Linked DNA regions of Macaca mulatta. The protein of the gene in region 2 binds, or shares a complex with, the protein of the main gene of each other region. Links are inferred from orthologs where the notes say so. Each region holds a gene or a part of one and is shown on either strand. Other genes may lie near its edges.

What was found. The genes of interacting proteins can lie anywhere in the genome.
Region 1: CAMLG (region 2) and GET1 share a complex: the UniProt entries of both Homo sapiens proteins name them as parts of the golgi to ER traffic (GET) complex. The link is inferred for Macaca mulatta from reciprocal best matches to the Homo sapiens genes CAMLG and GET1.

The regions. Positions count from the first base shown.
Region 1 is NC_133408.1:8,063,210-8,069,208, forward strand, and holds the start of GET1 (guided entry of tail-anchored proteins factor 1), read right to left. Parts: upstream 3,408-5,999; 5' UTR 3,355-3,407; coding exon 3,253-3,354; intron 1-3,252. UniProt on the Homo sapiens protein: Required for the post-translational delivery of tail-anchored (TA) proteins to the endoplasmic reticulum (ER).
Region 2 is NC_133411.1:143,652,803-143,658,645, reverse strand, and holds the start of CAMLG (guided entry of tail-anchored proteins factor CAMLG), read right to left. Parts: upstream 3,934-5,843; 5' UTR 3,574-3,933; intron 3,521-3,573; 5' UTR 3,335-3,520; coding exon 3,163-3,334; intron 582-3,162; coding exon 121-581; intron 1-120. UniProt on the Homo sapiens protein: Required for the post-translational delivery of tail-anchored (TA) proteins to the endoplasmic reticulum.

The DNA.
Region 1 (5,999 bases), on a different chromosome or scaffold from region 2:
GTAATCCCAGCTACTTGGAAGGCTGAGACAGAAGAATTGCTTGAACCCAGGAGGTGGAGGTGAGCCAAGATTGAGCCACTGCACTCCAGCCTGGGTGACAGAGAGAGACTCCCTCTCAAAAAAATAAAAATAAGCTGGGGGCGGTGGCTCAGGCCTGTAATCCCAGCACTTTGGGAGGCCAAGGCCGGTGGATCACTGGAGGTCAGGAGTTCAAGACCAGCCTGGCCAACATGGTGAAACCTCATCTCTACTAAAAATACAAAAATTAACCAGGCATGGTGGCGGGCACCTGTAATCCCAGCTACTTGGGAAGCTGAGGCAGGAGAATCTCTTGAACCCGAGGGGCAGAGGTTGCACTGAGCCGAGATTGCACCATTGCACTCCAGCCTGGGTGACAAGAGCAAGACTCCATCTCAAAAAAATAAATAAAATAAAAATAATAAATAAAAATAATAAATAAGAAAACAAAATACGTGTTGAAGGATGTGGAGCAACTGGAACCCTTCTGCATTGCTGGTGGGAATGTCGAATGGTGTGGCTGCTATGGAAAACAGCATGGTGGTTTCTCAAAAACATTCAACATAGAATTACCATAGATCCAGGAATTCCACTTCTGGGTATATGTCCAGAAAAACTGAAAGCAGAGACTCAAAGAGGTATCTGTAAACATTTTAGCATTATCTACAACAGTCAAAAGGTAGAAACAACGCAAGTGTCCATAGACAGATGGATGAATAAACAAAATGTGGCCTATACATATAATGGGATACTATTCAGCCTTAAAAGGGAAGGAAATCCCGACTCATGCTACAACATGGATGAACCTTAAGGATATTATGCTGAGTGAAAAGCAGCCAGTCACAAAAGGATAAATACTGTCTGATTCCACTTATATGACATAGGTCCCAAGAGCAGTCAAATTCACAGAGACAGAAAGTACAATGGAGGTTGCCAGGGAGAGGCAGGAATGGAGAGTTGTTTAATGGGTGCGAGAGTTTCAGTCAGAGGAGATAAAAAGGTTGTGATATGGGGCCGGGCATGGTGGCACATGCCTGTAATACTAGCACTTTGGGAGGCCAAGGAGGGCAGATGACTTGAGGTCAGGAGTTTGAGACTAGCCTGGGCAACATAGTGAGACCCCATCTCTACTAAAAATACAAAAATTAGCCAGGCATGGTGGCAGGTGCCTGTAATCACAGCTACTTGGGAGGCTGAGGCAGGAGAATCGCTTGAACCTGGAAGGCGGAGGCTGCAGTGAGCCAAGATCAGGCCACTACACTCCAGCATAGGCAACAGATTGAGACTCTGTTCCAAAAAAGAAAAAAGAAAAAGTTCTGGGAGCGGGGCCAGGTGCAGTGGTTCACACCTGTAATCCCAGCACTTTGGGAGGCAAAGTTGGGCGGATGGCTTGAGGTCTGGAGTTTGAGACCAGCCTGGCCAACATGGCAAAGCTCTGTCTCTACAAAAAATACAAAAAAATAGCTGGGCATGGTGGTGCATGCCTGTGGTCCCAGCTACTTGGGAGGCTGAGGTGGGAGGATCCCTTGAACCTGAGAGGCAGAGGTTGCAATGAGCTGAGATTGTGCCACTGCACAGAGCCAGACCCTGTCTTTAAAAAATAATAATAAAGTTCTGGGATAACGGTTGCACAAAAATGTGAATGTACTTAATGCCACTGAACTGTACACCTAAAAATGATAAAGATGATAAATTCATATTATGTAGATTTTACAATTAAGAAGATGAGGCCGGGCGCGGTGGCTCACGCCTGTAATCCCAGCACTTTGGGAGGCCGAGACGGGCGGATCACGAGGTCAGGAGATCGAGACCATCCTGGCTAATACGGTGAAACCCCGTCTCTACTAAAAAATACAAAAAACTAGCCGGGCGAGGTGGCGGGCGCCTGTAGTCCCAGCTACTCGGGAGGCTGAGGCAGGAGAATGGCGTAAACCCGGGAGGCGGAGCTTGCAGTGAGCTGAGATCCGGCCACTGCAGTCCAGCTCGGGCGACAGAGCAAGACTCCTTCTCAAAAAAAAAAAGAAAAAGAAAAAGAAGATGAGCATGGGCCAGCTCATCAGGAGTCTTTTATGCAATGCTAAGGACCTGAGACATCATCTTAAAAAGACTGGATAGCATCAGGAAAGATTCTGAAGGAGACTCAGGGGTTAAAAGAGAATTTCCTGTATCTCCAGGACAATGCAGACAGTAGGACAACGGAGAGAGTAAGAATAGTTTTGCACAAAACAGGCACTCAATGAATACTGGTGGAATAAAATATACTCCACTATTACCAATTTATCTTAGGAGAGAAAAGCAAGAACTGTTTTCCAAGACAATGCTACAACGCATGCGCACAATCTTTGAGGTCTCCGTCTGTGCCCAACAGCTCCTCATTCCTGCTGTGGGCATACAGAGGGCGCTCATTCCCGGGGACAGTTCCCAAAGTACCCCCACCTCCCATGACCACACCCCACCACGCCCTGTTCAATTTGCCACCAAATCCCTATCCCTATCCCTGCTCCAACAGGCAATCAAATCTCCACCTCCAGTCACTAGCGGGATGACTTAGCGCCACTACTAAATTCTCTGAGCCAGACTCCTCCGGGAGGTAAAGGAGGATGGGATAATAACTCGTCTCTCCCAGCAGCCGTGACAGGGAGGTAATGTACTCACTACCTGGCAGAAAGAGTGCTCCCCAAGCTGGTTGCTCCCTTGGATATTGAAGGCATCACGCTGTACTGAGATTCTCTCTGCACCTGTCTCCCACCCTACCCATCCCAAGAATGTGGGCTCCTGGACGCTAGGATCCATCTCTCCGGGACCTGGAACAGCGGACTTCGCCCGCCAGGCCTCTGGGAAAACCCTGGGTGAGGGCTGCTCAAATGCCTCTAGGGACCAGGATTAACGGAAACGGGTGAGGCTGGCAGCGGGGCACCAGGAACTCCCAATGTGAGGTTCGCCGCCGCCACCCACAGCTAGAAGATTCCTGTCCCGTGAAAGCGTGGCCCAGGGTTGCCGGATGTTTCTCCCCCCACCCCCCTAGAACCCAGAAAGTCTGATTCTGGGGTAAAGCGGCGCACCTTTTAGACGCTACCAACTATCTCAAAAAAGCTTACAGACCAACCAAGACGCTACTACGGGCTGAATCTGGGCTTCAGTCGCCCAGTTGAGACCCCTGTACCTACTCCCAGACCCGCCAGGGGACTGGGGCGGCATCCCCACCGGCCCTTGGGAGGCCAGGCAGCCACTTACGAAGGATGAGAAGGACGGGAGGAGGATCCTAAGAACATTGCACCCAAACACGAAGCTGAGCACCAGCAACCACGCCCAGTGGTCGGCCGCGGCTGAGCTCATCCCGGATACTCCTGGCTGTACTGGGTTCGCTACGGCAGCTCCATGGGGACCACGCCAGCAGAGGCGACTGCGCCTGCGCGGGTGAAGCCCAGCGCGCCTGCGCACTGCGTCGCCCTCGCAGGAGGCGGGGCCGTTTTTACCACCCGCTCCAGTTGGAGCGGTTGACATGTTCCAGGTTCCTCCTGGGCCTTCGGGGATTCCGTAGCCTTCTCGCACCCGCCCCCACCCCTACTCAACCAGTTTTCCTGGCGTCCGTGTTTCTTTTTTTCCTTCTTTTTAAAATTGAAAACCTTCTCATAGTACCAAATTCTGGTTTCAAGTGCTAACGACTCCCTGCTTTTGTCATAATTAGTACTTTCTTTAACTTTTAATTCTAGATAAGTTTAAGATAAACTCTTCCATAAATAAAAAACTACCGTAAGTATAGTAGCAGGTAGCTGTCGTGTTCCAAGCAGGTATGCGGAAAATGCCTTACGTTTTCGTTCCAGAACTAAACACTGTAGTAAGTCTAACCAATTTACACAATTGCATACCTGTAAAAATAAGTTTATTAGAATGCACTGTTCACAATCATTAGTAGTAGCTAATAAAGTAACCTGAATCTAGGTGAGGATCAGGTTTTGCCGCAAAAGAATCCCAAATCAAATGTATGCATCAGTGGGCAGAGCGTGGTGGCTCACGCCAGTAATCCCAGCATTTTGGGAGCCCGAGGCGGGCGGGTCACGAGGTCGAGAGATCGAAACCAGCTTGGCCAACATGGTGAAACCCCGTCTCTATGATACAAAAATTAGTTGGGCGTGGTGGCGCGCGCCTGTAGTCCCAGCTACTCAGGAGGCTGAGGCAGGAGAATCGCTTGAACCCGGCAGGCGGAGGTTGCAGTGAGCCAAGATCGTGCCACTAGTACTCCAGCTCCAGCGACAGAGTGGGACTCCGTCTCAAGAAAAAAAAAAAAAAAGTATACATAGTGGATAAAGCAAGACATGTTCAGCTGTCTCTTCTGCCATGCTGCCATGGCTGGTTTCTGAGGACTAATTCCTAATCAAAATGATGCAAGATTGCGGGTACACTGGCTCATGCCTGTAATCCCAGCACTTTGGGAGATCCAAGCAAGGTGGATCACGGGCCCAGGAGTTTGAAACCAGTCTAGGTAACATAGTGCGACCCCATCTTTACAGTAGAATATAAATATTAGCCGGGCATTGTGGCACGTGCCTGTGGCCCCAGCTATTAGGGAGGCTGAGATGAGAGGATCGCCTGAGCCCAGGAGGTCGAGGCTGCAGTGAGCTGTGATCACACCACTGTGCTCCAGCCTGGGCGACAGAGTACAACTCTGGCTCATTATTATGAACCAATTAAAATAATTTTGCAGCTGGGTGCAGTGACTCAAGCCTGTAATCCCAGCACTTTGGGAGGCCGAGGCGGGTGGATCACCTAAGGTCAGGAGTTCGACACCAGCCTGACCAACAAGGCAAAACCCTGTCTCTACTAAAAATACAAAAATTAGCTGGATGTGGTGGCGGGCGCCTGTAGTCCCAGCTACTCAGGAGGCCGAGGCAGGAGAATCGCTTTAACCTGGGAGGCGGAGGTTGGCTGAGATCATGCCGCTGCACTCCAGCCTGGGCGACAAGAGTGAAACTCTGTCTTTAAAAAAAAAAAAAAAAAAAAAAAATTATGCAAGAGGCTGTGGTTCTACAAATTTCTTTTTCTTTTTCTTTTTCTTTTTTTTTTGAGACGGAGTCTCGCTCTGTCGCCCAGGCTGGAGTGCAGTGGCCGGATCTCAGCTCATTGCAAGCTCCGCCTCCTGGGTTTACGCCATTCTCCTGCCTCAGCCTCCTGAGTAGCCGGGACTACGGGCGACTGCCACCTCGCCCGGCTAGTTTTTTGTATTTTTTTTAGTAGAGACGGGGTTTCACCGTGTTAGCCAGGATGGTCTCGATCTCCTGACCTCGTGATCAGCCTGTCTCGGCCTCCCAAAGTGCTGGGATTACAGGCTTGAGCCACCGCGCACAGCCAGTTCTACAAATTTCTGTTCAAGAAAACATGTGATCCAGCCTGGGCGACAGAGCAAGACTCCGTCTCAAAAAAAAAGAAAAAGAAAACATGTGAAACAAGGCTATTCTGTAGGAGTAGAGTGAATCCTTTCCCTGAAAGGACTTCTTGGTTAGTAAGTGACTTCTGAACAAAACAAAGAGCAGGAGCCTGGCTCTCCTCCATGGCCTTCCCTTCCACCTGGATGGACCACGCAGCATGGCAGCCGGGCTCCTGGCTTCTCTGTCACTGGAGATTGAGATGGATTTAGGAGGAGAAACTGCCTCTTGAAAAGTGATGACAGGCCAAGCACAGTGGTTCACGCCTGTAATCCCAGCATTTTGGGAGGCCAAGGTGGGTAGATCACCTGAGGTCAGGAGTTCAAAACCAGCCTGACCAACTTGGTGAAAGCCCACCTCTCCTAAAAATACAAAAATTAGTTGGGCGTGGTGGCGCATGGCGCATGCCTGTAATCCCAGCTACTCAAGAGGCTGAGGCAAGACAATCGCTTGAACCCAGGAGGTGGAGGTTGCAGGGAGCCAAGGTGGCACCATTGCACTCCAGCCTGGTGACAGAGTGAGACTCCATCTCAAAAAAAGAAAAGAAGAAGACTAATA
Region 2 (5,843 bases):
CCACATGGATCCGGTAGATATTAATTTTGGCAATGACTTCTATGGGTCAAAAGCACTCATAATTATTAACATTTTGCATTTTCCATTAAGTTAGTTAATAATTTACAGATCTTTTCTTACCAAGTATTTGCAAACAAAAGCTCTGACTCCAAGAGCAAGAAGAGCACATCCCACCAATCTAAATATTCGAAAAGAGTCAAATTCTTCTGTTGTACTTCCATCCTCTTGACTGGGTTTTTCACTAATCAGCTGTTTCCTTAGCTTCATTGCTTCTTCGAATCTGGAAAGGTACTGCTCTAGGCCATGGCGGGCACCCCTCTGGACTGAGTCCGCTGTCAAGTCCCCTCTGTTCCGCTGCCGGAGCTCAAGGTTGACATCATTACTGCACTCAGGTGGTTTAATGAAAGAGTCCAATTTGTCTCCCAGTTGGGTCCCCTTTACCTCGGCCACACCACCCTGCTGGTCAGTTGTTCCTGTACTGACTGAATCACCCAGCACTACTCGTTTTGAAACTGAAGGAACGCTGAGGGAGTTCAGTTTATCACTGTCCTGCTGCTTTGATTTTGTTTGACTTTCTTCTTCTGAGAAAAGAAATTTAAAAGCCTTATGTATTTATTACATACTGGCAAACACCTTACATGTTTATGTTTTAAAATATGCTGTTGCAGCTAGAACTCAGCAGTCTCTGAATCAAAATAAATAAATATTGATTCTGCATTAAAGAAAAGCTGGTTTCGGCCAGGCACAGTGGCTCACGCCTGTAATCCCAACACTTTGGGAGGCTGAGGTGGGCGCATCATGAGGTCAAGAGATTGAGACTATCCTAGCCAACATGGTGAAACTCCGTCACTACTAAAAATACAAAAATTAGCTGGGTGTGGTGGCATGTGCCTGCAGTCCCAGCTGTCTGTAGTCCCAGCTACTCTGGCTGAGGCAGGAGAATCGCTTGAAACCGGGAGGCAGAGGTTGCCATGAGCCGAGATTGCGCCACTGCACTCCGTCTGCATCTGCCTGGCGACAGAGCGAGACTCCGTCTCCAAAAAAAAAAAAAAAAAGTTGGTTTCTTCCTCTACACCCTCAAAATATATCACCCAAAATGAGTATTCTGCAGAGGAAATAACTCAAACTTTATGGGTAGGAGATAAGATTAGTAGACCAACTAGGAAAGATATTCAGAGATTGAGCAAACTGAAAAGACCAACTTTTTATGGATAATATATCCCAGATGTATGATTGCATTGCCTGCCTTAGCTTATTTGGTTAAAAATATAAAATCAGTAAGGCATTTTAAAATCTGTATTTTAAAATTAGATTTGTGAATCCAGTGCCCTATGAGCATAGGGTGTGGCATATCCCACAGCTACTGTTTATGTGGTCAGACAACCATTAGTAGGTAATTCAGCAGTTTTAAGATGCTACTCTGGTGTGTTTTTTTTTGTTTTTGTTTTTTGTTTTAAAAAAGGCCAGGCACAATGGCTCACACCTGTAATCCTGTAAGCCCAGCACTTTTGGAAGCAAAGGCTGGTGGATCACTTGAGCCCAGAAGTTCAAGACCAGCTTAGGCAACATAGTGAGACCCCCATCTCCACACACACAATTTTTTTTTTTAATTAGCCGGGCATTGTGGTGTACGCCTGTGGTCCTAGCTACTCTGGAGGCTGAGGTAGCAGGATTGCTTAAGCCCAGGAGTTTGAGGCTGCAGTAAGCTATGATCATGCCACTGCACTCCAGCCAAGGATACAGAGGGAGACATTGTCTCAAAAAACAAAACCTTTAAAGACATAAAATTTTCAAAGCAAAAGAACAAAATATAGAAAGTACCGGCTGGGCGCGGTGGCTCAAGCCTGTAATCCCACCACTTTGGGAGGCCGAGGCAGGCGGATCACGAGGTCAGGAGATTGAGACCAGCCTGGCCAACATGGTGAAACTCCGTCTCTAATAAAAATACAAAAAATTATCCGGGCGTGGTGGCACGTGCCTGTACTCCCAGCTACTCAGGAGGCTGAGGCAGGAGAATTGCTTGAACCCAGGAGGCGGAGCTTGCAGTGAGCGGAGATCGCACCACTGCACTCCAGCCTGGGCAACAGAGCGAGACTTCGTCTCAAAAACAAAAAGAAAAAAGAAAAAAAGAAAGTACCTCGGGTAAGATCGTAAATAATGCTTTAAGAATAAGTAGCCTGATAGAAAAATGTTTCTTCTAGTGTTCTAGAAGAATTTGAAATGTTTTTCTTACCTCTCATTTGAACTATCTAAAAATGCAGAGCTATACACCTAAAGCCTTCCAGAACAAAAGTCACAAAGATCTAAGGAGCTTGCGAGCACTGACTAAAGACCAATTACTAAAGGAAACAGTGGAAAAACACTAGGGCGTGCTAATTGTTCAGTTATACTCACGTGAAATAAATTTTTTTTAAATAAAATCATTGGATATATGTTTGGGGGAGGAATGAGGTGCTCTCCTTTAGAAATGCAGTTCCAGACATCAATGACATCGATCTCCCCTGGTGAGGAGAGGAAACTCTCAGGTGCACGTCGCACTTGCTGGGTCTCTGAAGAATGCTCACTCTCACTTTTCCCAACTTTTCTTGCCGGCCCGTAGGTGACAAGTGTTGAGGGCACTGAACACAGACACTAGAATATGACCACAGAGTCCCTGATACACGTAGGACGAACTAGCGGGCAGTTCCGTAAAGACAGGCTGACGTGGGCGGACAAGAGTTACACAGCAAAAGGCAAAAGAAGGTAGACGCTACAGAAGGCACTGTAAGGAAAAGCACTTGGAACCTTAACAAGGAAAGCCATCTTCCTAAGGGGAGCAGTGGACACGACAGTCTGGGGATACAACGTGCGCCCTTCAAGACGAGAAGTGGCTAAGGAAAAAAGGGGCTGTTAACGTAACTGGGCAGAGACAGCGAGGGCTCTGCAGGCAGGGTGGGGAAAATCTCACAGCGAGGCTCCAGGAAAATTTGAGGGGAGCGACTGGGGAACATCCTGGGGTTCAGGAATGAGAACTTGGGATATAACCGAAGGGGCGGGACAGAGAGGAAGTCAAAGAGCAGGGCTTGGTCAAAAAGGTCAGTGGAGTGGAGGTGGGAGAGGGAAGAATGACCCTGAAGATTCAAGGGGAGAGGCGGGAGACAGAGGGGAAATCGAGGCTCTTACCCGCGCCGCTCCCGGGCCTGTGAAAGCCCATGATCCGGTTGATGCGCTGTTCGGAGTTCATGAGCAGCTTCCTCCGACGCAGCTCGGCTCGACGCTGGGAGGCCGACAGGCCTGAGCCCGCTGGGACCCCCGGCCTCTCCCCGCCGTCGGTAGCGACAGCCATCGACTCCATCCTCCCGTCCACAGTCTGGGAGGGGTGGCAGGAGCGCTGGTGTTGGCCGCCGCGGCGAGGGCGATGACTAGAGCCCGGGCCGCAAGGCGCGCGTCCCCTTCCCACTATAGTCCCTCCCCCGAGCGCGGTGCCGGAGCCTGTGAGCTAAGCACGCAAGCGCCGCTCCACGCGACGAAGCGCCAGGCTCTGGCCGCCATCTTGAGTGAGGGCAGCGCTGGACGCCCTGATTCCTCCCCAACTCGTCTGGCCCTCACCCAACAGACCCCTCTGCTGTTCACTCGGAGGTGAAGAAAACCAGCACCCAGGGCCGGGAGTGGTGGCTCACGCCTGTAATGCTAGTACTTTGGAAGGCCGAGGCGGGCGGATCACGAGGTCAGGAGTTCAAGACTAGCCTGGCCAACACGGTGAAACCCCCGTCTCTACTAAAAATACAAAAAATTAGCCGGGCGTGGTGGCGCGCGCCCGTAATCCCGGCTACTCGGGAGGCTGAGGCAGGAGAATCGCGTGGACCCAGGAGGCCGAGGTTGCAGTGAGCCGAGATCGCGCCACTGCACTCCAGCCTGTGCTACAGAGCAAGACTCTGTCTCGAGGGGAAAAAAAAGAAGAGAAGAGAGAGGAGATGGAGAGGAGAGGAGAGGAGAGAAGAGGAAAGGAAACCGGAAGTGGGAAAGGGATGGCAGTGAATAATCAGCCTAGATTTGGTGCCAGGAAGCAAAATGGAGGTTGCAGCGGCAGTCGCTTGTTTACAGACCGGCGGCCTCGCTTGTAGGGAGCCACGCTTAAACGGAGCCTTACGCTGGGATTTGTTCTTGGTTCCTGTTCCTCATCCTTAACTTCTCTACGCCCAAGAATACGGGTGCTGTGTTCCTAGGCTTTCCTCACGTTTTGTGCGTTTTTGTTCAAATCAGAATTTCCCAGTGAAGCCTTTCGTGCACATTCTATCTAAATTGCCAGCACTCCCCATTCCCCTTCTCCACCTTATTTTTTCTCCTTGTCGTTTATGACCACCTCGCATGCTATATTATTTTTTTTCCTTCTTATCATTTATGACCAACTTGCATGCTAAAGATGCTCCAGTCTGGGCGACAGAGCGAGACTCCGTCTCAAAAAAAAAAAAAAAAAAAAAAAAAGAAATACAACACTTAAATTCTTACAGCCGAATTAAAAGTTGGACTAGAAATTTATTCCAGAAAGAATTAATTTTATGGAACAGTTTTCAAATATTTGAAAAGGAAATGGCTTGAAGTTTTTCAGAACTGTAGACAAGGATCTTTAAAGTGTGCTCTGAATAACAAGCAGGATAAAAAAATAAACTACAGGCCTGGCGCAGTGGCTCATGCCTGTAATCCCAGCACTTTGGGAGGCCGAGGCGGGCGGATCACCTGAGGTCGGGAGTTCGAGACCAGCCTGACCAACATGGAGAAACCCCGTCTCTACTAAAAATACAAAATTAGCCAGGTGTGGTGCCGCATGCCTGTAATCCCAGCCACTCGGGAGGCTGAGGCAGGAGAATTGCTTGAACCCAGGAGGCGGGGGTTGCGGTGAGCCGAGATCGTGCCATTGCACTCCAGCCTGGGCAACAAGAGTGAAACTCCGTCTCAGAAGAAAAATTAAAAAAAACAAAAAACCACCAAAAGAACCCAACAGTAACAAAACTATAGAACATTAAGGATGAAAGCCAAGACAGGTGGATCACTTGAGGCTAGGAGCTGGAGACCAGCCTGGTCAACATGGTGAAACCGTGTCTCTATTAAAAATTACAGGCATGCGCCACCATGCCCAGCTAATTTTGTATTTTTAGTAAAGACGGGGTTTCTCCATGTTGGTCAGGCTGGTCTCGAACTCCCAACCTCAGGTGATCCACCTGCCTCGGCCTCCCAAAGTGCTGGGATTACAGGCATGAGCCACGGCACCTGGCCAGTCATCTCATTACACAAGGGTACAGAAGACAATGGAGTAATATCTTAACATTATAAATGGAAAAATAACCTTTGATATAGAATTTCAAACCCAGCTATCCTTGAGGAGCAAACATCAAGAATTCAGTTTATCGGCCGGGCGCGGTGGCTCAAGCCTGTAATCCCAGCACTTTGGGAGGCCGAGACGGGCGGATCACGAGGTCAGGAGATCGAGACCATCCTGGCTAACACGGTGAAACCCCGTCTCTACTAAAAAATACAAAAAACTAGCCGGGCGCGGTGGCGGGCGCCTGTAGTCCCAACTACTCGGGAGGCTGAGGCAGGAGAATGGCGTGAACCCGGGAGGCGGAGCGTGCAGTGAGCTGAGATCCGGCCACTGCACTCCAGCCTGGGCGGCAGAGCGAGACTCCGTCTCAAAAAAAAAAAAAAAAAAAAGAATTCAGTTTATGGCCTCCCAGACATCTACTTAGGCTATTTAAAGAACCTTCAGCACTAGTTTTTCATTGACATAATTTGGATGCACAACATAGCATTACTTAGTAATTGGCAAGTTATTCATGTCACTTTTTACTTAAAGAGACAGGGTCTTG